Alligator mississippiensis: one gene and its partners. The protein of the gene in region 1 interacts with the protein of each later gene in a biochemical or structural test. Links are inferred from orthologs where the notes say so. Each region holds a gene or a part of one and is shown in the gene's direction. Other genes may lie near its edges. The genes, in order: NOTCH1, RBPJ, USP10 and FBXW7.

What was found.
Region 2: the proteins of NOTCH1 (region 1) and RBPJ form a complex in vitro, tested with the Homo sapiens proteins (5 studies listed by BioGRID and IntAct, with this or other methods). The link is inferred for Alligator mississippiensis from reciprocal best matches to the Homo sapiens genes NOTCH1 and RBPJ.
Region 3: the proteins of NOTCH1 (region 1) and USP10 form a complex in vitro, tested with the Homo sapiens proteins (2 studies listed by BioGRID, with this or other methods). The link is inferred for Alligator mississippiensis from reciprocal best matches to the Homo sapiens genes NOTCH1 and USP10.
Region 4: the proteins of NOTCH1 (region 1) and FBXW7 form a complex in vitro, tested with the Homo sapiens proteins (2 studies listed by BioGRID and IntAct, with this or other methods). The link is inferred for Alligator mississippiensis from reciprocal best matches to the Homo sapiens genes NOTCH1 and FBXW7.

The regions. Positions count from the first base shown.
Region 1 is NC_081835.1:63,112,290-63,119,508, forward strand, and holds the start of NOTCH1 (neurogenic locus notch homolog protein 1), read left to right. Parts: upstream 1-4,212; 5' UTR 4,213-4,296; coding exon 4,297-4,378; intron 4,379-7,219. UniProt on the Homo sapiens protein: Functions as a receptor for membrane-bound ligands Jagged-1 (JAG1), Jagged-2 (JAG2) and Delta-1 (DLL1) to regulate cell-fate determination.
Region 2 is NC_081825.1:39,903,476-39,911,236, forward strand, and holds the start of RBPJ (recombining binding protein suppressor of hairless), read left to right. Parts: upstream 1-4,751; 5' UTR 4,752-4,829; coding exon of another isoform or gene 4,830-4,849; intron 4,850-7,761. UniProt on the Homo sapiens protein: Transcriptional regulator that plays a central role in Notch signaling, a signaling pathway involved in cell-cell communication that regulates a broad spectrum of cell-fate determinations.
Region 3 is NC_081833.1:72,403,166-72,410,025, forward strand, and holds the start of USP10 (ubiquitin carboxyl-terminal hydrolase 10), read left to right. Parts: upstream 1-3,848; 5' UTR 3,849-3,946; coding exon 3,947-3,967; intron 3,968-6,860. UniProt on the Homo sapiens protein: Hydrolase that can remove conjugated ubiquitin from target proteins such as p53/TP53, RPS2/us5, RPS3/us3, RPS10/eS10, BECN1, SNX3 and CFTR.
Region 4 is NC_081825.1:96,224,832-96,232,743, forward strand, and holds the start of FBXW7 (F-box/WD repeat-containing protein 7), read left to right. Parts: upstream 1-4,911; 5' UTR 4,912-5,253; intron 5,254-7,912. UniProt on the Homo sapiens protein: Substrate recognition component of a SCF (SKP1-CUL1-F-box protein) E3 ubiquitin-protein ligase complex which mediates the ubiquitination and subsequent proteasomal degradation of target proteins.

The DNA.
Region 1 (7,219 bases):
CTTAGTGCACATCATTTTCCTAGCTTGCAGTAACAAAAAAAATTCCCAGGGTTTCACTCATTTAATTTTAACTTATTAAAATGTTTAAAGGTATTATGTGGGGTTCTCCTTCCTTCTGAAAGAAAACTACTTGTATGGACACTTGCCAGTGTTTCTATTAAAGCAGTTTTACAAGCATCACGTTAAAGCGTACCTAAAATCCCATTCCTTTAGCCCAAGAGACCATTCCAAATAAACACTTTCTTTGGAGCTTTGTTATAGTCACCCACAACTTTTTCAATTTATTATAAAAGTATTTTCATGTAGTGTTTAAGAGCATGTCTTTTTTTTTTCTTAAAACAACAACATGGGTATTGGTTGCAGCCCTCAGGAGAAGTGGTTGAGTAAACGAGTAAATGAAAGGTTGCTCTGTACTGAAAAGCTGTGCTGGGGAGATGTGCCTTGCAGTCAAGGTCTCCACTGGGTTAAAATGACACACTTAGATAGCGGACGAGGAAGGTTAGTTCTCATCATAATGACTGGCGGGGTTGGAAAGGCTTCCACGGAGAACGCAGCGACTGCCGCAGGCACCCGATGGGACCCACTGGATTCTGGATCCAATTCTATTCCCTACCGAGCCCGTTCCAGTGGGGACGGGATCAGGCCCCTTGCATTTGATGCACCCGAAGCTGTGTTTAGCGTCTGCCTGCATTCGGAAAGCTCTCTGCCACGGCTGGGACCCTGGGTGGAAATATTCCCGGATCTATTTCCTACTCGGACTCTACACGTTCTTTTACCTGGCCAAGCCCGTCTCTCGAAGGGGCTTCCACAAGGTCAGGGGACGGGGAGTATGGGGGTGACCTGACCTGAACAGCTTCTGTTGTTGCCACCTTTGTCTTTCATAGAAGAAGGGGGACCGCGGCCCAATTCGCATCAACCCTGACCCACCGGGACCCCCTGCGGCAGCTTGTACCTAGACTGGTCTGTCTCTTAGCCTCACCCATCCTTGCACCGGCATCAGGGTGCCCATTCTTGGGAGGATCCTCGACCGCAGAGTAGATCCAGCACCAGTGGCTGCTGGTGGCTTAACCGGGGGATTGTGGCCCTAAAAGAAATCAAGGGGCATTGCCAGGGAGAGAGACGGCCTGTTTCAGCTAAGGACCTTGGTGTTCTTCACAAACGTGTTTTCTGCCTGTCACAGATGGAGATGATGAGCACAAGGGACCGGCCAGGAGAAATTAAAGATAAAGCCAGGGCCCTTGAGTTTTCTGAAGTAGTCCCATAACATCCTATGTAGTCTCTCGTGGCAGGTTTCTGGAAGAAATAACCCAAGCAGGCACACAGCTAAGCTGAACGTGCAGTGCTTTCTCTGCTCAGGGAACAAGCCCAGGCAAAGATAACATAGGTATTTCCAAGCGGGTAGAGCAGAGATGGTCCCTGCTAACTGAAAAAAAGCAAAGAAAAAAAACAAAACCAAGGAGATGGGGAAAACAGGCTGAAATGCCATCTCCCCGAGGGCTCCAGATGTGCCAGGGCAAAACAACACGCTTCAACCCTCAAAGCCAATTCAGACTTGATTTATAGTCCCTTGAAACGAGAACACTACAGAGCATCGCGGCCTGTGGGCTGCAAACCTGTGCAAGCTGCAGCCCGGGTCTGGGGATGTCAAGTAGGAGACGATCAAAGGAGATCCTTGCTGTATTTGTATTGAGCAAAGGTGCTAAGGTGCAGGGGTGTGCAGAGCGTGTGAGTAGCCCCAGGCCCCGTGACCTTCTTTACTCTGATACCTGTTTCGGTGACCAGAGCAAACCAGAGTATAAGGGGGGGAGAGAGTGGGGCTTTTGGACACCCGAGCAACTTCAGAAAAGAGCTGCAGTAACAATCCTACCTGCCCGTGGCTACGACTAGGCTGCTTCGTTGGGTTAGCACCCTCCACTCTCCATCCCTATGAAAGAGCCAAACGTTGCTACAATTTGTGTGCTTAAAACTAAGCCAAATCCAGGCTGGTACCGAGGCCTGCTCCTGGGCTGTTTATAACCCACTGTGCACACCTGTGTGGACATCCGTGAGTTTGGACTTGTGGACGCCTGTGAGTTTTGGATTGCAGTTCTTTTGATCTCATCCTTGCACTGCTTTTCAAAAGGGGGCTCCTTGCTTATCTGAACTGCATTTTTCAGGGTAGACGCAGAGGCTATTTCTTTTTTTTTCAAATGTGGGGGCCTAAAGTTATACATCTAGGCTTGAATTTTGAATTCAAGCCCTGATTCCAGAGGCCACCCGGATCCCTGAGAAAAGCTCAGCCTGAAATCCATGTTTGAGCCCCCGAGTAAGAGGCGGGTTTCCAGGCAAAGCCCCAGGACAAAAGAGGCAAGAGAAACAAAGGAAAAGCACAACAGAAAAACAATGCTGTAGGGTTTGTTCCTTTGATCTCGTTGAGCAGAGTCTGCTCCTCGGTTTGTTTAATTGTTTCACACGTGCTCTGGAAATCATTTACAACAGGAAATAGTGGGATGGCACCCACTCCCAGGTGCCTGCCGAGGAAAGACAAGCCAGGGGTGTCACATCGAGGGCCTCCTCCCGTTTTTCTTCCTTTGACCAAACACACGCTCGTCCTGGCAGTGTTACCAGGAAGGAAAACCTGGGGGGAAAAAACACTGAGTTGGCTACATGGGAGGAATAAAATAGCTACAGCTGTTTGCTGTACAACTCCGCTTTCCTAAGAAGCCTAAACCTGCCACGAGACACATGAGGACAGACCCCGCGGTGGGTCTCACACCTGGCTATCCGCAGAGCCACCAGCAAACCAAAGGAGAAAGCCAGGAAAGTCAGGAAGCCCCCGACTTTATTCTTGACTTTGCCCCCGATCTGCTAGGAGGATCACTGAGTCCTGGTCTACACTCAGCTTTTTCTGAACCTTGCCCAAATTTGCACTCACGAACATAGCTCTGGGTGGTGGATTATTAGAGAGCGCTAACGTAGACACGGCACCAATATGTTTTTACCGCTGTGCCACCTCGCTCTGCAGTGCACGGGCCTGGAAGACATGGTGGCATGCCAGCCAGGGGACCGGGTAGAGCAGTATTGCCCCATGTGCTGCCACGGGCACGCTGCAAACCTCTGTCTGTGCACAGCCTCTGGTCCCATTTTCACAAGCAAAAACTCAGCACCTCAACAGGTGGCCTGGTTTCAATTCAGTTGCGGTTGCTGTGATTATACAGGAATGGCCTGGCCCTGCTGGAGTAGCTCTGTAGGGAGGGGTGATGGAGGCAGTGGGACATGCTATTATTGTTGCCTCCCAGCCTTGGAGCTGGCAGGTCGGTGGATGTGAGATCCTTCAGGACCCGCTCCCAGGGACAATATTGTGTGGCAGCACGACCCTACAGACTCCTGGGGTAGGAGTGTGGGACAGGATCTCTCCTTCCTCCAGATCTGCCCTCTGTGCTCATTCGTTCACTTGCAGCTGTTGCATGCCACTGATTGCACGTTCAAGGTGGGGGGAACAAACACCCTGTAGCCCACCTAGGCTGTTTTAATAGGGCATACCTATTAAATACAGCATACCTGGGGAGGTCCTAGCCCCTGGGCTGGAGCATGAGCTCTGCCGCAGGGCCTGCATGACCCGCGGAGGGCACACCAAGGGGGCATTGGCACCTGTTGCACACCCGGCGCCCGCAAAGAGGCAATTGCTCTGCCCGCTCCCCTCTCTTTTTCACCCCATGGGTCATTCAGCCCCGCCAGATTCAAACAGGGACCGGACACATCCTGGGAGGAATCAGACCTGCCTAGACCTGAAGTGGGGGGAGAGAGGACACCCTGGTCCTGCCCAGTTCTTTGGGCGGATGGGGTCTCTTTTATTAGACCAACTCAATAGGTGCCCAAATTGGGCTTTGAGTGCCAGTTCAAGGTGAGGGGAACCAACACCCCAGGCTGTTTTAAAAGCAGATCCAGGGCGGGGGCTGGCGGGGGGTCTGCAGGTGTACGGTGCTGCCCCCTGTGAGGCGGGCAGGAGGTGCCGTGCCGCACACGCACACCTGCTCGGGAGGCGCGGGCTGCAGGCAGAGGCGGCTGGTGCACGGAGCTGTCCCGGCGAGGGCAGGGCAGGGCAGGGCAGGGCAGGGAAGGGGCGGGGGCGGCTCGCACCGCCCCTCGGAGCGGAGCGGAGCGGAGCGGAGCTGGGCGGGGGGGCCGGGCGGAGCCTGGTCCCGCGGCGCCGAGCACTGGTGACTGGGCGGCGGCGGCGGCGGCGGGCAGCGGCGCTCGCTCCGGCTCCGGCTCCGGCCCCGGCTCCATGCGGCTCTGAGCGCCGGCGGCGGCGGGATGCGGCGGCGGCTCGTGCTGCCCGCGCTGCTGCGGCGGCTGCTGCTGCTCTGCCTCCTGCCCGCGCCCGCGCCCGCGCCAGGTGAGCGCCACCGACAACTTGTGCCACTTGCCGGCGCGGGGCCGCGCTGCCGGGAGCGCGCGCGCGCGTGTGTGTGTGTGTGTGTGTGTGTGAGAGAGATCCCTGCGCGCAGTCGGCGGGGGGCAGGAAGCGTTGTGTAGTTTGTGCGCGTGCTGCTGTGCGTGTGTCTCGTGCGTGTTGTGTAGTCCTGGGGGGTTGTGTGAGTGTGTGTGTCCCGTGCGTGTTGTGTAGCCCCGGGGGATTGTGTGTGTGTGTACCATGCATGTTGTGTAGTCCTGGGGGGGTGAGTGTGTGTGTGTGTGTGTGTGTCGTGCGTGTTGTGTAGTCCCGGGGGATTGTGTGTGCGTGTGTACGTACCATGCATGTTGTGTAGTCCTGGGGGGGGTGAGTGTGTGTGTGTGTGTGTGTGTGTGTACCATGCGTGTTGTGGAGTCCCGGGGGATTGTGTGTGTTTGTGTGTGTGTGTGTGCTGCCTTGTGTGTGTCCTGTGCATGTAGTCAGGGGGTGGGGGGGTGAGATGCGTGTGTCCCGTGCATGTTGTGTAGTCCAGAAGGGTTGTGTGTATGTCTGTGTGTCCGTCCGGCGCATGCAGGCAGAGAGAGTTGGTGTGTGTGTGTGTACTGCCTTGCATGTGTCCCGTGCATGCCGTCGGGGGGGGTGTGCACGCTGCTGTGCATGTATCTTGTGTGTGTAATCGGGGGTGGGGTGTGTGTGTGTGTGTGTCCTGTGCATGTAGTCGGGGGGGACAGTGTCTGTGTGTACTGCTGCTGTGCGTGTCCCGTGCATGTAGTCAAGGGGAGGATGTGTGTCCAGAGTATGCAGGCAGGGGGAGTTGTGTGTGTGTGTGTGTGTGTGTGTGTGTGTGCGCGCGCCCAGTGCAGGCAGGCAGGGGGAGCGTGTGTATGTGTGCATGTGACCGTGTGTGAACGCACAGGGTGTGTGTGTGTATGTGAATAGGCAGACACTGTTCTTTAGGTAGATGTGATATAGTTTATTAGACCAACTAAATAGTTAGAAAATTGTTCTTTGTATGAGACCTGTTGCATGTGTGTCCAGAGCATTCAGGCGGGGGGGGGGAGAAAGCGTGCGTGTGTGTGTGTGTGTGTGTACGTACAGCTCCTCCCAGCCTCCCCTGGGTTTCCCCCGGTACCTGCCCGGGGCTGGCTCACACCCGGCCGGGCTGCAGGGCTGGGGGACAAGCTGCCGGGCCCCCTGGTGCCCCCCACCCCGGTGGGGCCGGCGGGAGCTGGGGTGCTCTCTGCCGCCGGGGCACAGCCCATCCGCTGCCCCTGCCCCTGCCTTTGCCCCTCCCCAGCCCCTGCACCCAGCCCCGCTTCATGCGGGCCCTTAGTCATAGCCGGAGCGCAGCAGCCTTCCGGGAAGGAGCCGGGCCCGGTCTGGTTTCACTGCACTTTGCATAGCTGAGCAAGACAGAGGCTGCTGTGTAGGCAAGCCCCAGGGGAGCGAGTGCTGTCTGAGTCCACCCGCTCTTCCAAGCAGCAGGTATTGAGTATCAAGTGCGAGACCCTGCCGGAGTCCTGCCCTCCACTCACTGCCGCAGCAAGAGGTGTCTTGAAGGCCTGACAATGGCCAGCTCTGATTTCCCCCTTTGTCCCAGGCTCTGCTCCGCAGCTGTTGCTTTTTCCCACGAGCCAGGAGGGGAGTGTGCGCCTGGTGCTTGACAACTCTCCATTCTCCCCCTGCAGCACAGCCAGCAGCCAGACGCTCCGCGAGCGTTTCGGGGGCGTTTTCCTGTAGGCAGGACAGTAGCGGCATGCAGGAGTCTGGAAGGGAGGGGGGAACGGGGCAAACAATCCCAGTAGATGGCTGGAAAGCCGGCGCCCAGCCTGCCCTGTACGCCGAAAAGAAAGTTGGCAGATAAAGTTGGCCGGGAGAGCGGCCCGCGACGCTCTTTGCCCTGCGGCTTTCCTTTAAAGCTGCCTCGCGGCTCCCTTCTCCCGCCACCCTGCAGCAGTGCCCTGGGGGTGAATCTGCGAAGGAAACACCCTGGACTGGAAACACCGTATGCGCAGCCCTGGTACCCCCCGCCCCCAGTCTTGCTGGTGCTCTGGACCCTCCAGCGGTTGTTGCTCTTGGTTTATCTACCCCCCACCCTCTCCCTGGGCATTTTTACTCTTTATTATTTCTATGGGTTTTACAGAAGTTTTTGACTGTACATCAGGAGCCATTATCATCAGTATGGCAGTGAGCTTTTTCCAGAGAGAGTTGAAAGCAGACATTTGGCTCTCAGGGCCATGTTAGCAGCCTGTGCAGGTCTAGTGAGTAGACTTCAATGGACTGCTCAAGTGAGCAATGATTTTTGGTTGGATCCCTTGCTTAGGTTTGCAGAATCATCCTTGTCACCCAAACTTTCTGGCCCTGACCTCTGTTCCCTTACCCAGGCAGGTTTTTCATGGGTGTTTCTCTGAGAGCTTTCCTGAGTGAAGAGCCTAGCATCTAGCTTCTAGTCCATCAAACTTTGCAAAAAAACAGCTTTTCTCTGAGTGGAGAAGAGACCGGGCCCTGTGAAAAGCCCGTTGTGCCTAGAAATCGGTCACAGCACAATCAGCCGTGCATTTTTGTGTGGTGCATCATTTGATGGCATCTTCTCCCGAGAGCCCCTTGCTCCCAGGAGTTTGGCAAAGCTGCGGGCTCTCTGCAGACCTGCTGTCGTAGGCTGCTCACACGCGGGCTTGTCTTGGCTCAGACCTACTCCGAGTGAAGTCACGGCATCCCCACGTGACACGGCAGATCCCATGTATTGATTCCACCACCTTGATCAGTGGAAGGCCTGCCTGGATGTCCCGTCTTTAGGTTCAGAGGCACGTGACTCCTGGCTAA
Region 2 (7,761 bases), on another chromosome or scaffold:
TTTAGAATGCCCCAATATCACTAGACAGATTTAAAAATGTAGGCTAGATTTAGAACTTTTCCATTGTTACAGCATGGCTGTAATGGGCCTTAACTCACTTGGCACAGGAGGTTGAAAACATTGACTTACATAACAAATAAATCCATATAATTATTGTCTAAACCTTGTATTTAAAATTCGTCATTACTCAAATCTGGCATTGTCCACTACCAACGATCAGAATTTAGACCTCAATCCAAGGAGGTGCTGAAGTTAAGTCAGTAAAAAGTGAGTATTTTGTGCTTTATTGAGGTTGGGCCCTTTAGCAAAAGAAGTCATACATATAAACAGTGATAATTACAAAAAATTGTCTGAGCTTTTGCCATAATTTTTCCCCTAGAAAGTACCAATTTTAGACCAACTCTGATTTTGACAGTATTCCTGACTTAGTTCAAGAGCCTGACCTTCAGTATGACTGACCTTTTGTACTGCTACATAAGGTTTATGATTTTAAAAATGTTTCAGTAGTGTCTTTTTGTTAAGTACACCTGAATCAGTGATAGAAAGCACTGTTATGTAGTCTTAAACTACTGTGCTATTTATTAATTATTGAAAACAAAGTGCCTTCTCTGAGATCCAATTAATTTTTTTATTAATCAAAATGTCTTATTTGTAAAATATTAAAAGAAGTCTAGACACTAAATATTATTGTGCACTATATTTTTACATTTTCCAGTTTAATTTAAAACACACAAAAGAGGGGCCCCATAAAATGACCATCTAGAGACAGTTGATGGCAAGAATCCAGAAACGATTCTTAATGGGACGGAACTAGCATGAGATGAGATCATTCTTCAATTTGGAGGGGAAAAAAAGATGTTTTCAAGAAGAAATTTTTCAAAAGGATTACAAATTGTTGTTTCACAAACAATACAGAGGATCTGCGGTATACACTGTGTTTCAGATGAAGAGTGTGCCGATAAAGGAACCAATCAAAATCCTTTTATGATTAATGAGGAGAGGGAACTCATGATAGGAAAAGAGTCTCCTGAATTATAACTGAGTTGTTTGCTGTAGTTCCAAAGCATGAGTTCACTACAGTTTGTCTGGCAAGATTTTCTTCCTTGCATTAAGTTAGCATTAGCAGTGGAGAGTAAGTATAAAAACAGAGCAAAAACTGAGTCATGGACATGATGGAAAATTCAATCTTTTATAAGTATGGGAGCCAGCAGATTTAGTAAAAATTAAGTAACTCTCAAAATCTCCTTCTCAAATTGGGATTTTAATTAATGTTAGATTTGAGTTTGAACCTAGATTGATGAAGAAGACAAGCTGAATGGGAGCTACTACTGAGCTTTAAGCACCGTAATCTTAGTCTTTTTAAACACAGGTATCTAATAGACAACCGCCCTTTAACTCGAAAGGTCAACTTTGTATTTTGTTATGCGAATTACTTTTTCAGGTCTAAGATACCTGTTCTGAACCCCAAAGGAAAGTTGTCTCTCTTTCTCTTAATGTCAAAATGATAGTCTATATCCAAATATTTTAAGATCTTGGATACTGATACCTCTTCTCATGCATTCTCATCCAACCTCTAACCTTTCCAGATTGTCCAAAAAGTAACTCTTAAGATCATTTAATTGAGTGAAGCAAGGTCTTACATTCAACTTGTTGGCATTTATCTATCTTGTTACACAATGACTTCTGAACACTCCATCTCATTAAGTCCACAATTTGAGAAAATGTTCTAGTTCAAAGACATTGATTTCTATGTACATCAAAAAAACCAAAAAATCTTTAAAATCTTGAATGTGGGATGTATGCGACAGTAAGCTGGGGTGGGCAAAGTATGGCCCACAGGAGGGTGCCCAGATTGGATCCAGCCTGCGGCCGCTTCCACAGTACTCCACATGGGGCTGAGCCCTGCCAGGGGGCAGCCACCACTGGACTCCCACCTGTTCTTGCTGCGCCTGGCCAGAACTTGCAGCTTTCCGGCAGGTGGTGCTTGGCTCCCGCCAGCTCCAGTAGCTTTTCATCTTCCTGCCCCTGTTGCGCTGCTCCAGGTGAGTGGGAAGCTGCACCCAGGTGGCTCCTGCCCTAGCTGTAGCTCCAGGCTGCCTTCCACCCACTCTGCCTGCCTACCTACCTCTACCTGCATGATGAGCAGTCACCTGCAGGCAGCTGAGTGAGTGGAAGACATCTGGGAAGAGCTGGAGCCACCTGGTTGCAGTTTCCCTCCTGTCCAGAGTGGCGCTGCATGAGCAGGAAGAGGAGCAGCTGCTGGAGGTGTGGCGGTAGCTAAACACCACTCACCAGCAAGCTGTGCATGCTGGCTGGTACCCGGGCTGCAGTTAGCAGGTATGGGCTGCCCTGGGTGGGAGCGGGCGGGGGCTCGGACCTATGCAGTGTTGTGGGGGCAGCTGCAGGCCATACTGTCTGGGAAAGCTTTGCTTCATGCTGCCCTGTCCCATCCCTCTTTTCCCAGGCCAGCTCCTGGAATCTAGCACTCAGGCAGCCTCCCCTCTCCCCCACAATATGCCCACCCCACACCCTCCACTCACACCCCCTCCATCCCTGCCAATATACTAGAGTAAGACTTTATTTTGAGTTATGCAATCACCTCTATATACACTACTCAAAAAAACCAAGTCAGGACAAAAATTGTTGTTTTTTTTTAAAATAAAAATAGAATGTTACAGTAATGTTTGATTTTTTTTTTTTAGTGTATGATTTTATCTACAATTTGTTAAAATGATACCTTCTACAAATTTTGTGTGTGCGGCCCTCAACAGCTCACCAAAACTCATTTAAGTGGCCCTCCAGTTGAAATAATTGCCCACCCTGCACTAAGCACTAACATCCTTAACAGAGCCTGCAGCTTCAAACACATCTATAGATCATAGGTAAAAGATTTGGTTGAAAAGCAGTCGTAACAGGATGGATTGTTTCAAATCATGGTTTTTATCATGATTTGAATCAAAAACATGATAATTTCAGTCCTCTTTGCATTTGTACTCCTTAATTTCCTGAGGAAAGGTTAATTCTTGTTGATTTTTGTCCTGATATAGCTTTTACACTAAATTATGTCTGTATTTTTGCTAACCAAAAGGATCTATTATCTTTACACATAAGCAATTATATAGTTTAGTAGCTACTAATATTCATTTGGTTCATTATTTTAGGTTAGGAAACAATAAAGAGTGTAGGAGTTTAGGTTGTAGCCGTGTTGGTCGAAGGACATAGGCAGACAAGGTTCCTTGGGTGAATTTGATATCTTTTATTATACCAACCCAAATAGTTGGAGAATAGTTATTAAGCTGCTGAAACTTCCTTAGCCTGACGAAGTGTTTTTGAACCCGAAAGCTTGCTTAATAACTATTCTCCAACTATTTGGGTTGGTCTAATAAAAGATACCAAATTCACCCAAGGAATAAAGAGTGTAGGTCTTTTTAAATCCTGAATGTTTACAACTTGCAATTTGGATGGAATTGGGAATAAAATGCAGAGGAATAGCATTTTACTACTGTTTTTATTGGTTAAATAAATACACTTGAAGTGTGACAGACACAGAAGAAAAAAAGTTGCATATATTCACAGACATTAGGGCTGGAAGGGACCTTGGAAGATCATTGAGTCCAGCCCCCTCATTGAGTCCAGACATTTTAAACTAAATTTTAAGTTGACTTATGAAACAAACTAAGCATTCTATGTAGCTAGTGAACTGAATTATGTTGGGTCGACACGTGCGTCAAGATTTTGGAAGTAGATTTTAACCTCTTGTGTTTCCTAAGTATTGACTGATAGATCGGAAAAAGAAAATAAGCCTCTCGGCAACGACGAGCTGAAATGTTTCTCAACTATGAACAAAACTGAACAAAAGGAAGAGGATTCTTCTTTCTCCACCTACAACAGAGGGCCCAGATGTCTAAAGCTGCTTTTCCACTTTGCTTGAAAACTGGGTCCTGAGGCTTTGCTTGCGACTTCATCCCCGCTCAGTGGCTTGACAGACTTTAAAACTCGGTCGCAAAAACACAGCTTGAACGGTGGGTTTTTGAATCACGTTAAACGACAGGAAGGGGCAGCATCCAGAGGAGGCCTTCACAGAGGCTGTCCTAAGACCAGTTTTACTTTTAAATCACTTTTTGGGGGGTTTCTTTTTTAGCCCAGCGGTCTTCCATTTTATCACGGCCTCATTTTCCACCTGCCCCTCCTTCCCCCACGGCCACAGCCGGAAACCCGCTCATCTCGGTCCCGGGGGCCACGTGCCCGTAGCAGTTGCTGTCCATTCGAGGGCAAACCCCTTGGCCTGCAGGTGCTGGCAGCTGAGTTCTCCCTGCTGGTTGCCCTCGCCCTCTGCGCTGCGGGCGGGTACGCCTGCCCCAAGCCTGGCGGGTGGGGCGCCGGGTGAGACCCGGCCCCACGCGCCCACCACAGGAAACTACGGCCCGGCCCCACCCCACGCCGCCCACTTTGTGCTCCGAGGCGCGTCCCCCCGGCGAATGGGCGCGTCCCCCGTGCTCTGCGCAGACCCCTCCCGCCCGGGATGGTTTCTCCCGCCCCCAAGGCGCAGGAAGTTTCCGAGCCTAGACTCCGCCGCCGACAGGGAATCCCCCTCGCGCTCCTCTCGCGAGACGCACCATCTCCTCTTCCCTTCGGCGCCGGCATTCTCGCGAGACTCGGGCAGGTTCCCACGCCTGCTGCTGTTGTGTCTGACTGACACTGGGAGAGCCCGGCGCGCGGGGGGTGGTGCGCGCTCCGCGTGTGCGCTCTATGGGCCCACGCACGCGCGCTCTCCGGCAGGGCCGCCGCGCTCTCGCGAGACTAGGAGTTTTGGCGAGAGTTTGTGGAAGATGGCGCCTGTTGTGACAGGGTAAGTGCGGAGGCTTCGCCGCACCGCGCCGCCCGAGGCCCCCGCCCGTGCCCGCCGGGGCTCCACCGCCTGCCCCGCCCTCGCTCCCCGTTCCGCCCCGCTCCTCCCGGGCGGCTGGGCCCCTTCGGCCGCTTCCCCGGCGGGACGCCCCGGGCCGCGGCCCCGGGGGCCGAGAACCCCCCGGGCGGACGCCCCGGCCGAGGCGCCCCCTGCCCGAGGCCGCGCCCGCTCGCCCGGGAGCGCTCGGCCTGCGCCCGCCCCGTGCTGCTGGGGCAGCTCCGTGCCGGGACAGTGCCTGGCTCCATGCTGCCCTGAGGGCGCTTCTCTCTGGCTGCCGGCAGAGTCCCCCCCAAAGGCTCCCGGGCAATGTCCCGGGAGAAGTTGAGTCCCCCACGCACCGCAGCGTGGCTACGCGAGCGGCGTGGGGCTCGGCAGGGAGGGCACTGCTCCCTGGCGCGGGAAGCGAGATGTTCCTCTTCCCCTGCACCCCCGGGGCCCGGCTGCGGCTGCTGTCAGGGCCGCGCTGCAGCTCCCGCCCGCGCAGCACCCCTCGGCTCTCCCGCACGGTGTCCTTCCAGATGCCCCCTGCGGGCCAGGGAGAATGAGAGAGCGCGAGCCCCAACGTGCCGTGTCACCTGCTGTGTTACTGCTGAGTGTGGGCATCTTCTTGGTATCCCAAATTATCCTGAACCCTGCTTGCAGCCTGTTCCTAATCTTTAGTCTCGCTGGGTAGTTCCCCCCCCCCCCCCGGCCTGGTCCCTAAGGGGATTGGGGCTGCTAGGGCAGCAGTAGGCCTTGCCTCCTCCCCACCTGCTTGATTGAAACAAAATCCTGGTGGCTGAAAATAATTCTAGGCGTGGGGGGGAGGAGGGGGGTGTTTTTTGCACGTTTGGCTAAATATCCTGCCTTCACATCGCATCTGTGATTTTTTCTCCCCGTGGGATTACGTAGTCTCTAGGCTTGGCTCTGTGGTTATAGCACAGAGCCAAGCCTATTTGGGGGTGGGGTGGAGTTGGTGGTGGTTGCTTTTGTTCTTATGGAGGTGGCGGCATTATGGTATTTTCTTGTTTTGTTTTGGCCTTAGCACTTGTTAGTTTCTTGTTTCATGGTTGTCAAAAGCAAGCGTTAAACTGTTGCCTGATTTTATTCGAGTTCAAAAGGCACTTGCTGCTGTTGCTTATTTTGGCTGCTTAAACCTTCTTTAAAACAGCAAGTCTTGTGTGTTGCAATCTGTGGAGTACACTATTTAGAGTTCTAGAGTTGGGGGAGTAAGACATAATGGTGTTTCTAAAAGTTTGCCTTACATGGGTTGCATGTTAATTTTATTCCAGTTTCTGGTCACTTAATTGCCTCTGTGCTTGAGTTTTATTCGTTTTGCTTATTGATTGGGACAGAAATGTTCTCCGTGACATCCCATCTGTTTTTTCCAGGAGATGCATTTTAATTTTTGACTAATTAATGAACTTACGAATGAGAGAAACACACTAACAACAAAGGAATAGAAAATATGTTGTGTTTTAATGTAAGGGTGGAAGTTTCTCTGTGTTTCAATTCTAACAATACAACTATTGTTTAGCATTTTCAAATTGGTTAAATCCTGTAAAAAGAGAGGGAGGAGTCATAATTCTAACCTCAGATCTTGAATTAGTTAATCACCTAAAACATAGAGAACCTTGAAAAGATGTGCTAAAATGTATTAACGGGTATGGTTTTTATTTTATTCAGTGGTTTTGGGGGTTTTTTTGTGTTTTTAGTGTACTTAGGTTTTGGATTAGCAATGTGATACCCTGTTTTCTTTTAGTAACTGGCATTTTTCACAGTAGTAAAACCTCTCTTCATTCTAGTGTAGTTAATTTTCACTCACGATCTTAGAAAACAGGGTAGAAAACAGTTTAGAATTAAAAATAAAATAAATCTGTTAATGTAGTAACCAAGGGTTGCATGCTGTTTTTGTTGCTTGCATGCACTTTCTAGCAATCATGAAATTTCTAGATGAAGCGTATAAGTGATGCTTTGTAATTGCTGGGAGGTGAATGTTGGAATATTATCTTTTCATGAAAACTAGTTGTTAAAACTAAATTGCAGTACATAAGCCTGATAAACCTATTGTCTTGTTCCAGTAATCTGAAAGGACTAGTAACAGTAATACCTGGCTATAGAAGTTGTATTTCTGGCACTGTGACCTTCACCCAGTTTGCTGATGGAATATTCTTTTATCATAGGCTTACCTGTGTTGAAAAATGCATAGGTATACAGCTTTTATATAAGGCCCATGAGAGATTTAGATTTATTATGTATGATCCCAGCAGTCTTTCCTGCCCAAGTGCAGGGGGACTGGACCCAGTGATCTATAAGGTTCCTTCCAGCCCCTAACAACTCTGGAATTATGAACCCTTAAATCACCTTGTTATGGATCAGGACTCCATTGTACTCAGAACTGTGCAAACAGAACTATGTGAAGGTCCCTGCCCCAAAGAGCATGTTGTCTAAATATACGACAAGAAACCAAAAATTAATGTAGTCATATGGGGGGGGAGGGGGATATGGGGAGCTGGTGAGATGGCATTGGACAGAATGATAGGCAGCCTGTTGCTTATAGACAGTAAGGAAAAGGAGGGTTTTGGGGGAGCCTGATCAGGTTTGTAAATTTTGTGTGTAGCTGTTGGCGGCAGCATGGGAGAAATACAAAGGTACCTTTTTAAAATTTTAACAAGTGGGTAAAGAAGACTGGTATAATCAGCTGACTGGAGGTGAGGTTCTGTGTTTTAACAGTGAATGAAGGATAGTAAGGTGAAGATAGATTGTGAAGGGCCTCAAAATGCCCAGTGTTTGTTATGCAGTAGAAATAAGGAAGGTAGCTGGTATGTGATACAAATAGAGATGACAAAGTAGTGGCACAGGGAAATTACTTT
Region 3 (6,860 bases), on another chromosome or scaffold:
ACTGGATGTTGATGAGCTTAACAGACACAGGGCAATGGATTTTTGCATTAACTATTTCAAACAGATGATAGAATTGGCAAAACCTGAGATCAAAGAGACTTCACAACAAGTGAAAGTCTGTTGTTATGGTTGCCTGAACTATAAGATAGTTTTTATGAAATACTCTTGAAAAATAAGATGTCACACTGTTCCCCTGGTGTTACACAAAGATAAAAATATTAAAAATGACAAGCTCTGTATGATAACCCCTGGTGAAACTGAGAATTTGTTCATTTTCATATGATACCTTAACCAACATTCAGTTCTTTCAGAAGGTACTATAATAGGCTTTGAAGCTTAGTAGTAATTTGTCATCCCTTCGTAACAATATGAAAACAGTTCAGCAGTGTCTTGTTTTTTTTTAAGAGGGTAACACAAAAGAATCTCACAGTTTAGGTAACATTTTAAGTTGCTAAAAAATAGGATCTCTTTATTTCTCTGTGCCCTTAAAAGAGGTTTGGAAATTGTTCATATTTTCTCTTACTAATCTAAAAGCTTTGAAAAGATTTTTAACTCTATAGTGAATCAGAGGTTGCAGTTGAGCTGAATTATTCATCTGGGGCTATAACCATAAATTTAATTGAGTAATACTGTGAAACATATGTTGTGTACTTCATGCAATAGTACTGATATGTATTGCTCACCTAGTCAGACTCACATGGTGCTGAAGACATATCCATAAATGGCCATCCTGTATGGATACATTATATAATTATAATAACTAAAAAGTATACTGAGGTTTGTTTTCTTGTGCTTTACAACTGATTATCCTACGCATGATGCATAACATATCCTATGTTAATGAATGGTTGGACTTAATATCCAATAATTTACCAACAATATCTGTATTTACAAACATTACTTTACCTCTAGCCCCCTTTTTTCCGAAGGCAAGTATTCTCTTACAAAGTTTTAAAGACTAGAGTTTGGTTCCCTAATCTCAGCCAGAGGTACTCTTTTATGGCTTGCATCACTGTTTTAACCACACACCTTTTCCCCATCAGCTACTGCTTGGAATAATTATTAATTAACTAAAAAACTGGTGGGTGGTGTGATACTGCAGCATTCTCATCTATAAGTTCAGCCATTTATAATTACACCCTTCCCTGTCAACTGCTTGCTTTTACTTGAGCAAATTTTCTAGCCTGACATGGGTCTTGCCCTCAACAAAGGTAAACTTTCCAAGAGTTTGTACCTACCCACTAGTTTCCTTGTAAAATAAACACCTAGACTGTTTTTCAGCCTAGCCTTAAAACTATTAAAGCTGTTTGTTTTTCCTCAATAACATGCAATGTTTTCTACTTCTAGTTTCTTCCCGGCCCGGATTAAAACAGCAACACTTGTCAGAAACAGAGGAGAGGGAGTGGCAGGGCTGGGGTGTGGCAGAGAAAAGGTACAAAAGCAAATACAGAAAAAAATAATCTGCTGAGAAATTTAAGTCCTTATTCCATCAAGTTGCTCATGCTTTGGTATATGCACACTTAGTGCAGCTTCACCTGAATTGCACAGTGGGTAAGGCCTCTTATCAAAACAAGGTGGCTAAAAGCTTTCCATCTCTGGTGCTTTTATGGAGGAAAATGTTACTCCTAGAATAATCAAATATTAGCTTCAACCCTAATCGTAAGCTCAGCAGAGATGGGTATTTCAGTTCTTCTAATGCTTCATTTCATAGTTTCACTTGAAATTGTTGGTAACAGCCAGGGACAATATTTTTATTCGGGCAAAAAAGTGAAGATTAAATTAAAAAAAAAAAAATCAGTCGGGAGATTTTTGCAGGGAAAGGAAAAGCCCAGTATGTCACTACATATGCCTGTATTTTCCTTTCTATTTGTCTTCATGCATCATTTTTTCCCAAAGTTCAATTAGGATTTAATTGTTTCAGTGGTGAAGGCAAACATCAAAACTTTGGTTGCACTCCAGCGTATCCTGGGACGTCGTGGCGTGCACTCTACATTTCTGGAGGCAGCCCGTGACCGCACGTGTGTATGTTCTTAATCGGGGTTTTTATTAATACATTGCAGATATACTACCCGTTATCCTGCCTGCTCACCAACTGCATATGGCAGCTCGTCTACTTTGCCGTGATGCAGTGAATGGGAATGCTCACTTAGTTTGTCAAATGGAGCAGACAACTCCTTCACGCATGGGATATAGCATTGTGAGGGTGGGGGGGACCAGACTAGCATTGAGGTGCTATTTTCTGGGGCGCATAGAACAATTTAGGACCTTTACACATGCTATTAGCAGCTTTGCAAGAGGAAGAATCACCCTGAGCTTGCACAGAACCAGGATAAATGAGAACTACAGAGTATTTTTGGAGTGACATAGCCTCAATGGTCTAGGAAATGTGTGAGAGGCAAGAATATTTTTTTGGGGGGTGCTATCCTTTATTTAATTCAAGCTCTGCTGCTATTTGAGACCTGAGAGAGGGGTGTGTGCATATGTGGGCAGAGGTTGTGTTGCAAGCCTAATTGTCTCTGCCAGGGCCAGGCCCTGGTTTCTTGGTGCTCTGAAAGCTTTCCTAAAATCTCTCTCACCCAAGTAGTGAGTTCAGTTGATCACCTCCAAATCTAACTATGGAGGTAGGACAGATTTCTCTCTCTGAGCCTGCTGTGCCTCTAGGCCTGTCCTTTAAGGCTGCCTATGCGCAGATACTTTTACTGGTATCCAGGTTGTAGTCATGTCAGTTCAGAGGCAAAAAGGAATCGGGACTTGTGGTAGAGGTGATGGCAATCAGGACCCATGGTAGAGATGATATCTTTTACTAGACCAACAATATTTTTGCAAAAACATTTCTTTAATTGCAAGCTTTCGGGCACAAATACCCTTCATCAGGCACTGGAGAAGATTGTACAAATTCTCTTGGGTAGAAACGAAAGTTCATATTTCATAAGATTTCAGAGGTGTCAATAGATGGAAAAATCCATTTTGGTTTAATAAAAGATATCATCTCTACTACAAGTCCTGATTGCCTTTTCCTCTAGACTAATATGGCTACAACCTAGATAGCTGGTAGAGGTGATATCTTTTATTAGACGACCTAGATTTTTGCAAGGGGCAGGAAGGCAGCTGGGGTCAAATGATTTTTTTTTTTTGCAAAAATCTAGTTGGTTTAATAAAAAATATCACCTCTCCCATGAGTGGCGATACTTTTACAGATCATAAAAGGGTAAGAGCACCAGCCATGGTGCTTAGCAAAGCATGAGGACGGTGCTGCTTGGGTCAGCCTCAAGCTCAGAGGCATGGGCAGACGCAGCTCTCTCTCTCTTTTATGAGACCAACAAAATAGTTGGGGGAAAAAATTGTTCTTTGCAAGGTTTTGGGCACAAACACCCAGGCATAGGGAGAGTCTGCTGGTGTTATGAGTTCTCCAAGGTAGAAAAGCAGCAGGGGATATTTTCGTGGCTCTGTGCATGCCTCAGGGGTGAGAAAGCAATCAGAGATAATATCTTTTATTAAAAACTATTCTCCAACTATTTGGGTTGGTCTAATAAAAGATATCAGATTCACCCAAGGAACCCTGTCTGCCTATCTTTTATTAGATTTTTTGCAAAAAAAAAAATAATAATAATAATAATAATTTTGAAGTGCAAGCTTTTGGGCGCAGACACCCTTCATCAGGCAGCAAAGGTCCTTCCCAGGCCCCCAGCCCTGCGCACGCTGCCTCCTTGCAGCCCAGCCCAGCCCCGCCCCTCTAGGGCTTGAGCTGCGCCTGCGCACTGCCCCCCTCCCTCTTCCCTCCCCGGCCATGCGCAGACGTCGCCCCGCGGGCCGGGCCGAGCCCCGCGCCTGCGCAGTGCGCCGCCCGCCCGCCCGGCTGGTGTGTGCGGGAGACAAGATGGCGGCGGCGGGGGCCGCGGCGTGAGGGGCCGAGCCGACGCTGAGCAGCCGGGGCCGCGGGGGCGCCATGGCGCTCAACAGCGCCCAGGTGAGGCCCAGCCCCGCGCGGGGGGCCCGCGGGCCGCTGGCGGAGCCGGGGGGCGGCGCGGGGCGCGGGCAGCATGCTGCCGGCTAGGCCCCGCGCCCTTCTGCGGCCTCATTCAATCGCCTCGCGGCGGCCGCGGCGCCTCCCCGCCCCCTCCCGGGGCCGCTCCCGCGCCCGCTCCTCCGCCGGCTGCGCTGCGCCGCGCCGCGCCGCGCCGCGCCGGGGAGCGGGGCCGGGGCCGGGGCCGGGAGGTTTGCAGACAGGACTGCGGGGCAGGGTGGGGCGGGTGGGGGCAGGGGGTGCAGCACTAGCGGGGGGCTGCTTCCTTTTCTAATTTATTTTCTTTTCCTTTCTAATTTATTTTCTCTTTCCTCATTTCTTTTCTTTTCTAATTTATTTTCTTTTCCTTTCTAATTTATTTTCTCTTCTCATTTCTTTTTCTTCTTTTCCTAATTCCTTTTTTTCTTTTCTTTTCCTTTATTTTCCTAATTTCTTTTTCCTCCTCTTTTCCTAATTCCTTTTTTTCTCTTCTTTTCCTTTCTCTTTTCTCATTTCTTCCTTTCACTCTGCCAGGCTCTGGTTTCTCCGGGCTATCCCTCTTCCTCCCCCTTAAGTGGGAGCAGCTCCCTCATTGGGGTAGCGCTGTTTGTCGGTCTGTATTTCTCTGGTTTCTGAGTATTAACACCCCTCCCCCCTTTTTAATTTTTTTTAACTTGGACCAACTCCCCTGTTGGGGTAACGCTAGCCAGGCTTTCCAATGCAAAGCTGTCTGCCTCGGGCACAGGAAGCTGTCTTTGTGCCCTGGATGAAATGCCCTCTGCCCTCCCCTTTCCTTTGCGTTCCTCCTTCTTTCTTTTTTGTGGACGTTAGGGGAAGGTTGAAAGGTGTCCCAGCAGCTCCGTTTGGGCCTCGTGCCTTTGCAAGAAGAAAAGGCAGGGGGCGGGGCGGGCAGGGGGCGGGGCGGGGCGAGGCGGGACACATGTTTGAATGGGCAAGGTGGAGGCTCGGGGTTTTAAAGACGGGCGTAAAGCAGCAGTGCCTGCCCGCGCTGATGGGCGCTGCTTTTTGTAGGCAGACGAGGTTGTTCGGGTAAATCGGATATCTTTTCTTAAACCAACTCAAATAGTTGGAAAAATTCTTAGCAAGTTTTTGGGCTCAGACACCCTTTGTCAGGCTGAGGGAGCATCTTTTTGTAAGCATATATCTTGAAGCGGGGGGGGGGGGGGGGGCACGCCAAAGTTTTCCTGAACTTGGATTGCGTTGTCCCTTGCACGGCGGCCTGCTACCTGTTGTTTCATGGGGTTGGGGGAAAAATGACATTTCATCCAAAAAAAAAAAAAGGTGTTAAGCTAAGATGGTCACGTACTGCGTTTTGTTCTGTTTTCTTTCTGAAAGTTATTGACTAAAATATACAGCTCTAAGAAAACTTCCTATTAATTATAGCATTTTTGAAGCACAGTTTATACTTGATGAAACTACTCTAGTTGCATTTTTGTCGGGCCTGATTTTGTAAGCTTTTTTTTTTTTTTTTTTTTTTTTGGACACTTAGTGCTTGGTTTCTTTGCCTTGTCATTGTACTTAAAGTTTCTACACCTTGTTCATTTGTACTTAATGTATTAGTACGTAGCATGGTGCTTATATAGTTTTATGCTCCATAACTTTGCAAGAGCTTGACCAATACATGGTAATTAGCAGGCAGACTACAACTTGCAGCGTTTGAAAACAGAAATCTCAAGGTTCAGCTTGCAAGCATTTTTGTTTTCTTCTCCATCCACCCTGCTCTCAGTCCCCAGAGTTGAGTATAACAGGCATTGTATACAGGTATTTTTATTCAGGTATCATGTGAAACTGAAAGGCGGGTTTTCATGATGTGCCCATGGCAGATCTTGGTCCCTGTCCTGATGTTTCTTTTTGAGAAATAGTGCTGATCAATTAGTAGGGCTGATCAATTAGTAGAACTGCACAATGCTTAAAAATAAACTAGTTTAAGTGTAACATGCCTTCACCTTTGCTTTTTCCAGTACTTGCTTTTTTTGTAATGAAAATCATTAGGGCCCTGATCCAAAAGAATTGAGTTTAACTTTACATACCCTTGAGTATTCTTGTTGTCAGTGAGATTGCCCTTAAGGTAAAAATCAGTATATCAAACTCAGGATTTAAGCCCATTTGTGCATATCTTTAACAAATGAGTTGATAGAACAGTTTTGCCAATAATCTTGGTAAATTTATTTTTATCAGCAGATTTTGCTCATCTGTATTTTGTTCTATAGAAAGATATTGCTTTAAATGCTTAAAGTAGGGAGGTGAGTAAAACTTGGCAGGGAAATGACTTCTGAGGGCATCCTCAAGAGAGCAGTTTATGGAACGCTGAGGTGAAGAAGAAAAGTTTCTTATATGAATGAAGGTGAAGTTTTTGATGCAGCTGTGTTACTGATTTTTAACGTCATCAAAATGTATTAGGGTAAAGACTGAGGAAAAAAGTTTAATATGAACAAAATGTTCCAAGATTGGAACTCTAAATCGCATAGTATTTGTCTTCCCCCAAGATAGGTATTTTTGAGTTTAATTGCTAAAAATAGTTTGTCACAAAGGAAAGATCATAATTTGCAGCTCAAGAAGACTGTTGTGAGAAATCTGAAACACAGAGTCAGATTTTGCACAAACAGTGTTCTCATACCAAGAGATTTTTAGCAGGATGGGGGAGACTAAACACAGGTTTTCATTACACATGTAGTGCTTTTATTTGAAAGGAGAGTGTCTGACTCGTTGAAAAGCTCAGTTTAAAATTAGTTTTGATGATCCGTACAAAATGCATTTGAGAATATCCCATCACAGTTCAATTGCACTGGCTGCTTGTGCTTTTTAAAATTATTATTCTAAGAAGCTATTTCATAAT
Region 4 (7,912 bases), on another chromosome or scaffold:
CCACCATAATCTTTTTACACTCTCAATTCACAGTCTGCCATTTATTATCCAGCCCAGAGTTATCCACTGCTATATCTCATCTTCCATCTGTAAATGTCACACTCATTTCCATGTGCAAAGCCACTGGATCTGGTCCCCCTGCCTGAAAGGAGGCACATTCAGATGACCAGGATGCTGATGCTGCTGTTTTCTCCTTTGGCACCCTTGCCACAGTCACTCAGGATCCCAGCCAACAAGAGGCCAAGCAACAATCCAGAGAAGCTCACCACAGCAGACCTCTGAACAAAACTATTGGCTAACGAAGTCCTGGTGCCACGGGTGGAAGCTGCCTAGCTGCCAGTCAGGAAGCCTTAACAGTGACCAACTGGTTACTCAGTTGTAGGAGGGCTCTCAGATACAGCCTCTGGCAGGTTTGGCCAGCTAGGCAATTAAGCCAGGCTGTGCTGCCTCTGATGCTGGAGAAGCTCTGTGTGGAAGCCAGTTTATCTCTGTGTCTCAGTTTTCCCATCTGTAAAATGGTGATCAGGATACTGACCTCCTTTGTCAAGTACTTTGAGAACCACTTGTGAAAGCTGGATACTATTATTAAGACAAGGCATAGCCAATACCTTACTGCACATCCTGGAGACCTAACCAACTGCTCTTGTATCTTCCTAGTGTTTCCCTCAGATCAGGCCCTGGATATTTTAATACTGTATGCAGGATCCCTCTGGATTTTGGATAATTTAATCCCTAAAACATTGTAATTATAAACCACTGTGACCATTGTGGTTTATGGTCTTCACAGCTGCAGACAAAATATGCAGGGTTTTAAATGCCCTTGGATGGTAAAGTTCCTGGAAGAATAGCCAAGTTTTCCTGGGCTTAACATTTCACTGCCTGGGGAAGAAACACTTCAGCTAAAGACATCTACTTTTTTATGGAGGCTGCATGGGATAGTAGAGATATGAGGATGGATTTAAGACTGTGTGGAGTATCTTAGTGCTGCATTTCTATACTTTTTACCTTTTTACCTTCTACATTTGAATTTAATGGCTTTTAGATCTATTTTTATCCAAGCTTAGTGACCCTGCCTATTATTAAGATTGTCTGATGCTATCCTTTAGAACATAGAGGAGTCTAGTAGGCAAGGGAGAAACTGGTGAGGAAAATTAAGGGAGAACAAAAGCCTGAAGTGAAACTGTGATCAGATGAAGTGCCAAGGGTCTGGCTTGGCTAAAAGACTAGGACTAGGGGGAGTGTAATAGTGGAGAAGAAACAGATCTGACAAGGAGAGAGAGTTGGGATTGGAGGAAGAAAAAATAGCTTCTTGTAGTTAAGAAAGAAAACTACCCCAGAGAATATTTTAGCCATGCTTCTACTACAGAGATCCTTTGTAAAGTACTTTCTTTTTGAAGAAGTAACTCAAACCAAACTTATTATAGATGGTTAGTAATTATGCATCCCTCATTTTCTGAGCTGGATGGGCCTGACTTGCAGTGCTGAGCACTGGCTTCTACATTTGAACTCAATAGGTCACTGTTTTGGAGTATATAAAGTGATATATAATGCCAAGTTCTCTGAACAACCAGCATTTTAGATTAGGCACCCAAAATTAGTGAGCGTTTTTACCCATCTCTCTGCCTCAGCTCCTCATCTGTAAAATGAGGATAATAACAACTCCGGTATCTCACACAAGTTTTGAGAAGATAAATGTATTAATGTTTGTGAAGCTCTTGGCTGCCATTGGAATAGCTTATAAAAAAACAAAGCAGTACATCCCTGTCTCTGTATGTCAAAGCAAGCGGTGTTTTAAAGGCCTAAGTCTTGGTCCACTGACCAACCCTCTCCCTTTATCCAAGCCATGAACTGGTGCTGTTTTGCATGGGACTGTTATCTAAATTTTTACGTAAGTTGTACCCTGGGGACACTCCTAGAGATGTACTCTGTTCAAGTAGGAGAAAACTGAAATGCTTAATATAGAACAAATACATATGAAGAAAAATTGACAGGTAAGTCACCAGTGCAGTCCACCACAGGCAAGGATATGGGACGTGGACCCAAGACTGAAAATTATCCTGATGGCAGTAAGACATTTGTACACCTGTCAGGGAAAATGACACCGCCAGATTCTTGCTGAGACTCATCACGGGAGTGGGAATGGGAAGGGAAGCTGGCACCTGAAGAGAGTGGGAACTAGGGCTAATTGAACACGGAGACCAAGACAAAGATGAATAGCCTGAAAAGTAGAGATGTGCCACTTGAGAAGCTAGAGCGCATGAGAGAGGGACTGGTGCTGTACGAAGGTTTGGCCATATTTGATCATTGGAAGATATTCATAGAACGAGGACCCTTCTTGATAAATGGAAGCCATCTGAATTCCTGTATGTGCAAGTTAATCACAGGATAACTACAAGCCACTAACAGCTTGTAGTTACAGCTATGAACAAAGCAAATGCAAGCCTAAAATGTATAGATTAGGTATTCCAGTAGAGACTGGGTTGTATTAACTGGACAAGAAAGCTCAGGTGTTTCTGCATGGCACTGCAGTGCATTGTCATCCCACAAAAGGAGAAGTCTAAGAAAACAGAAGAAACTTCTGTGGTGCTCAACCTTTTCTCCCTGCAGCCTGGATGGGCAGCACCTAGTTTGACTGTGGGCCAGGTCTGGCCAGTAGTCCTGATCCAGTGCCCAAGGCAGGCATGGCAGGCACCATTCAGCTACATGGAGGAGATGGAAGGGGCAGGTTGGCTCCAACTCACCCCTGCAGGAGAAAGAAGCTTGATTTGGCCCCACTGGGGGAGGAAGTGTGGCCCAGCCTTAGCCTAGCACTAAGGGAGGGGCCCTGACTAGGCCCAAACCCAGCCCGGGTGGAAGTAACCATGCCTTGCCCCAACCTGGCCCCAGGGGTGTGTGTGGCCCAGCTCAACCTAGAAGTGGGGGGAGGGAGTATGGAATACCAGGGGTACACCTGGGCTCTGACCAGACATGAGAGGCTTGGGTTTGGGGAATTTGGCAGGGGGCAGGGTGGCCATCTCTCTCTTGCTGCCAAATTTCTGGACCTATGGGGAGTCCCATGGGCCAGATGAGATGGCTCTGTAGGCCATATTTGGTACGCAGGCCAGTGGTTAGGACTCCTAGTTCATAATGCTGATACTTGCATCCCTGTTTTAGAAAAATTCAGATGAAAAAGCAAGGAGATGACAGGTTTGAAAATGCATTGGCTAACATTTAACCTCTATAATCATTGGTACTTTTTTTTCCCCTTACATGTGGTTAAAGTTCTTGTTAATTTCACTAGTGATTTCAAAATAAGAGCAATTGCATAGCATTTAGACTGATGTAGAAGCACGAGAGAATACGAGATTTAAATTTAAAAGAAGCATACTTATGTAGATACACAGTAAACACAATTATGTTGGACATAAAAGCAAGAGGATTCAGGCACTGGTCCTGCTTTCCATCTTCTGTCTACAAAGAGCACCTGGAGCTCTCAAAAGAACTTTTCTTTAGGACCCTAAAAACTAGAGACAGACACAGCATATAACCCAAAATGACTTTCCAGAAACATTGCAGCCTAAGTCAGCCAAGGCCTAGTTGCCAATAGCTATCCTGCTGGCATGAGAAGATGACAAGGGTGCTTTTTCAGTCTCTGAAGCAACCCAAGCTAGGGTGGGAGACCAGCAGTACTTGTTTCCTCTGTGATCTGATGTTGACTGTTGATGGTAAAAACTTGTGGTAGGAAACCAAATGTTTTCACCACAATTGCAGAGGAAAGGGAGGTTGATATCAATGTGCTTTATGAGCAGAGCTGAAATTCTGGGTTAAAAGGAACTGCTGTATGGTTCTGTAGAGGGCACGGATGAAATAATCTTCTTTCCCCTTTTTCTTTTCTGTTGCTGATTAGTAGCGAGCTGGATGCTTCCATTGACAAAAAACATAACACCAGCACCACAGGCTTCCAGTGGCAATTGTGAAAGACAGTTGCCTGGCATCTCCCATTTAGTGACACGCCAGACCAGGGCATTACCAAGAGTGGCAACTACCAGCCTGTTCCACTGCATCAAGCACTGGGGGCCACACTTCCTTTTTGGCAGGTGTGCAAACTGGCCCCACCACTCCTTGAGTACCACTCTAACCCCCGCGCCTTTCCCTTGCCTATGGGGGTGCTCTGCTTTCTGCTCCCTGCCTCACCTGCTGCCCTGCTTTCTGCTGCTCTGCTTTCTCCTCCATATAGTGCTCTGCTCCCTGCTAATCTGTCGCTGGGTTCCCTGTCCCCTCCGGGGTCTGCTGCACGCACAGGCTGCCCATGCCTCCGGCGGCTGGCAGTATGCTGCAGGTTGGCCGCTCCCCATTATAAACTAGGGAGCAGATTTGGCTTGCGTTTCCAAGAGCAGGTGAAGGGGGAGCCAAGGGCGGGAGTAGAAGGCAACCTCTTACAGCATTCTCCTGCCCACGAGCAGCGGTCCCGCTTGCCCCTCGCAAAGCCCGTCCTGCTGCCCCCTCCTTTCCCCTTCCCCCGCTCTGCGGCGCGCACCGCGACCCGGAGACCCCCGCCGCCCCGACCCCTGTAAAGACCCCCGGGGGGCGGGACAGGGCGCTAAGCCATTATGCCTGCCTCTAGGGAGCAGCCCTGCTCCGCGTCACGAGACGACTTGCCCCTCAGTCAATCACAGCGGCAACCCAGTGCCGTAGCAGCATTCAAAGCCCAAGCCCCGCCCACTGCTTCTACTCGGCGAGGGCGGGGCTCCGCTTCCTTCGTCACCGCCCCTTTGTCCCGGCCTGAACCAACCCCGCCGGCGGCGCTTCCCCCCTCCCTGACGTCATCGACCCGCGCCCCCGGCCGGGGGTGTGGCCTGTTGCCATAGTGACCAGCTGTCATCTCCGTGCGCCGCGGCTCCCTTCCCCCTCCCCCCCAGCAACCAGCTCTCCCTGCCGTCCCCACCCCCGCCGGAGCCTCCCCCCGGGGCTTGCCCCGCGCCGCGGCTCACCCATGCCAGAGCGCGGCGCGGCGGCGGTGCCTCGCCCGGCCGCCCCCGGGGCCCCGCGGGGCCCCTAGCAGCGCCCCGCGCCTCCGCCCGCCTCAGCGTGCATGAGCGGGGGCCGCGGCCCGGCCCCGCCGCCGCCTCCTCCTGCCCGGTCCGGCCCGGCGGCGGCTCCATGTGAAGGCCCCCCCCTCCCCGCCGGGGCACCCCGCGCCCCCGGCCCCGGCCCGGCGGGGGGAGGCTCCCGCGGCCCCGCCACGGCGAAGGAAGCAGCCGCGCGGCCCCTGACGTGAGTAAACGCCGGGCGCGGGGGAGCACGTGGGTGCGGCGGGGCCGTTGGGGGCAGCGCCCCGCCCCGCCGTCGGGGCCGGCTGTCCCGGGTCTTTGTCGAGGCAACAAAGAGCTGCCCCTTCGCAGCCAGCCGCGGGGCCGGCCCCCTCGTGGCCCGCGGGGCGGGGGAGTGCCAGCCCCCTCTTGGCTCGGCCCCTCTCAGGGAAAGACCCCTGTCCCCTGCCGGAGCCAGCGGTGGCTCTTCCATGGGTTGCCTGAGCTGGGGGTGCGGAGGTGGCCTGGGCTGGGGGGCTTCTGAAATCCTTTGAGGTCAAACCGGCTCCAGACGGGCAGTGCTTTCCTGCCTAGGAGCGTATGGGCAATGGGAAAGCCTGGCCCTCGGTGCTTTCTGCCTAGGAGCGTGTGGGCAATGCTTCTGTGCCGCCCTGATGCGGGGAGTTGAGTGTTGCCTTCGTAACTTTCCTTGTTTCTGGGAGGACCAAGGAACTTGAACTCAAATCATCGCCCCCTTCCCTGCTGATCCGAGCACCCATGGGGATAGGTGGCATCTTGCCATGCTTAATTTATGCATCTTCAGAAAAAGCAGCGTGGGTTAGTTCAGTCTGACAGTAACATTTCTCAATCAGGTGCTGCAGCACCTTGGGGCGCCTGGAGATCTTTACCAAGGTGCCACATGGTGCTAGCATGGCGAGGCGTGCACTCATGATGCACGTGATGGCTTCAGAGATTTCAAACAGGCATTCGGAGCATTACAAATGCTTTGCCCGTTCAGGCTTTCTGGGTTCTCAGCTTTAGTCTTTTTCTGTTGCCAGAAAACCAAGGGAAAGCTAAGAGCTGGCATTTTCTGAGAGGGGCTTCTAGTCTTACTGAGAGGTGCCTCAAGTTTTTAAAAAAGTTGAGGACAATTGCTGTAGCATCCTTGGCCAGCAGCTGTTGGCGAGTTACAGCAGTCAGGCGTTATCCCACCACACAGGCTCTGAATAATTTAAAATCTTTGCAGGTTGCGTTTTACATTTGAGCGTTTGGTTTGTGCGCGCTGGGTGTGTTGTAAGGTTGTGGCCAAATTAAGTGTGGTTCTAGCGCTTTGATTTACATGGTAGGCACTTCAGAAGTATTGGCTCTGATGTAGTGCGGGAGTTTGTATAATTTTCATTATGAGTATTTTTTCCATACAGAAATCTAGAAAAGTATGATAGCAAACTCTAGCTAGGTAATTTCCCCTTGCTTGATATTTTCAATGAATGGCATAGAAGGTCAACAGTTGACACACTTCTATCTAAATTCTGGTATCAGCTAGGAATATTTTAATTGAAAGACCTTGTTCCCTGTCTCCTGCCCGTATGTTTGCTGCATACATTTGGCAGCAGGTAGAGTCAGTTTCCCAAGTTTGTTTATAGCCATTTTTTCACTGGGAAGGAGTTGGAATCTAAATCCCATTGATTTCTTTTTTCTCCTTGGGTGGTTCTGTTTGTTTTCAGACTCTTATGATTTAAAGGGCAATAACGTATGCAGAGACAACCAGATTACACGTGTTAATTGCACGCCAAGCTTGTAGAACCAGACTTTGAAATAGATTGTATAACCTCCAAAGTGGTTAGGCAGGAAGAAGTAGAAAAGGTACCTGAAACTTTAAAAATCCTTTCAAGTCAATCAGCTTGAGACAGGCAGCGCTTTCTTGAACAGGAGTATGCGTACAACACTCCTGTGCATCCCATATGCAGTGCATTGAGTGTTGCCTTCATAACATTCCTTGCTTCTGTGAGCACTGAGGAACTTGAACTCACTTTACCACTCCAATTCCCTGCCATTCCTGGCATCCATAGGGATAGGTGGCATCTTGCCACATTTAATTTATATATGTTTAGAAAAAGCAGTGTGGGATATTTCAATCTGACCATAATATTTCACCGTTCTCTTAACACAGTAGCTTTTTGTCACATCTTGACTCCAAATTAAATGTATTTTTCCCTTCCTGTTGCTGTTCCCCTTCCATTTTGCAATAGCCACTGTTCTTTGTATACTAAAAAAGTTATGTTCCTACCTGTTAGAGCCATTTTTACAGTATTGTAGGTGTTCAGTATAGATCACCTTGTGAAAGCAATTCATATTTGCTGTTTAAAATGGAATAACGCTATTTTTTTATATTTGCATTACCCTCTTTGTTCTCAGTGTGACCAGTGAGTCTCATCTTATTCATTATTACATTGTTGTTGGGTAGAAACCCAAACTGAGAGAAAAATACTTAAACATCTTATAAAAAAAAATTGAGCTCCATTCATGGTAGCTATTACAAACTATTTCCTTCCTCCCCAAACTGAAAATAACTTGCATTTCTTCTTGGGTAGTCAAATTTTACATTACCCATGGCAGACACTCACTGTTTTTTTTGGGGGGGGATAGTGTTTACATGTTCATTCTTCTAAATAGAATGTCAGAAAATGTAGGGTACAGGAGGACTCCTTTTGGGCCTACCATCCTCTTTACACAGAGGGGCACTGTTGCCAGTCTGGCTTTATAAAAGAAACTTGAAATAACACATGACTTGTCTGAAGTATCTGGACTGTAATTAGTCTGATACTTGAGCTTGTTGACTCTTGCTCTTAAGACCATGCAACTCTGAACTGATTTTGCATATACACCATTAGCATACCTGATAT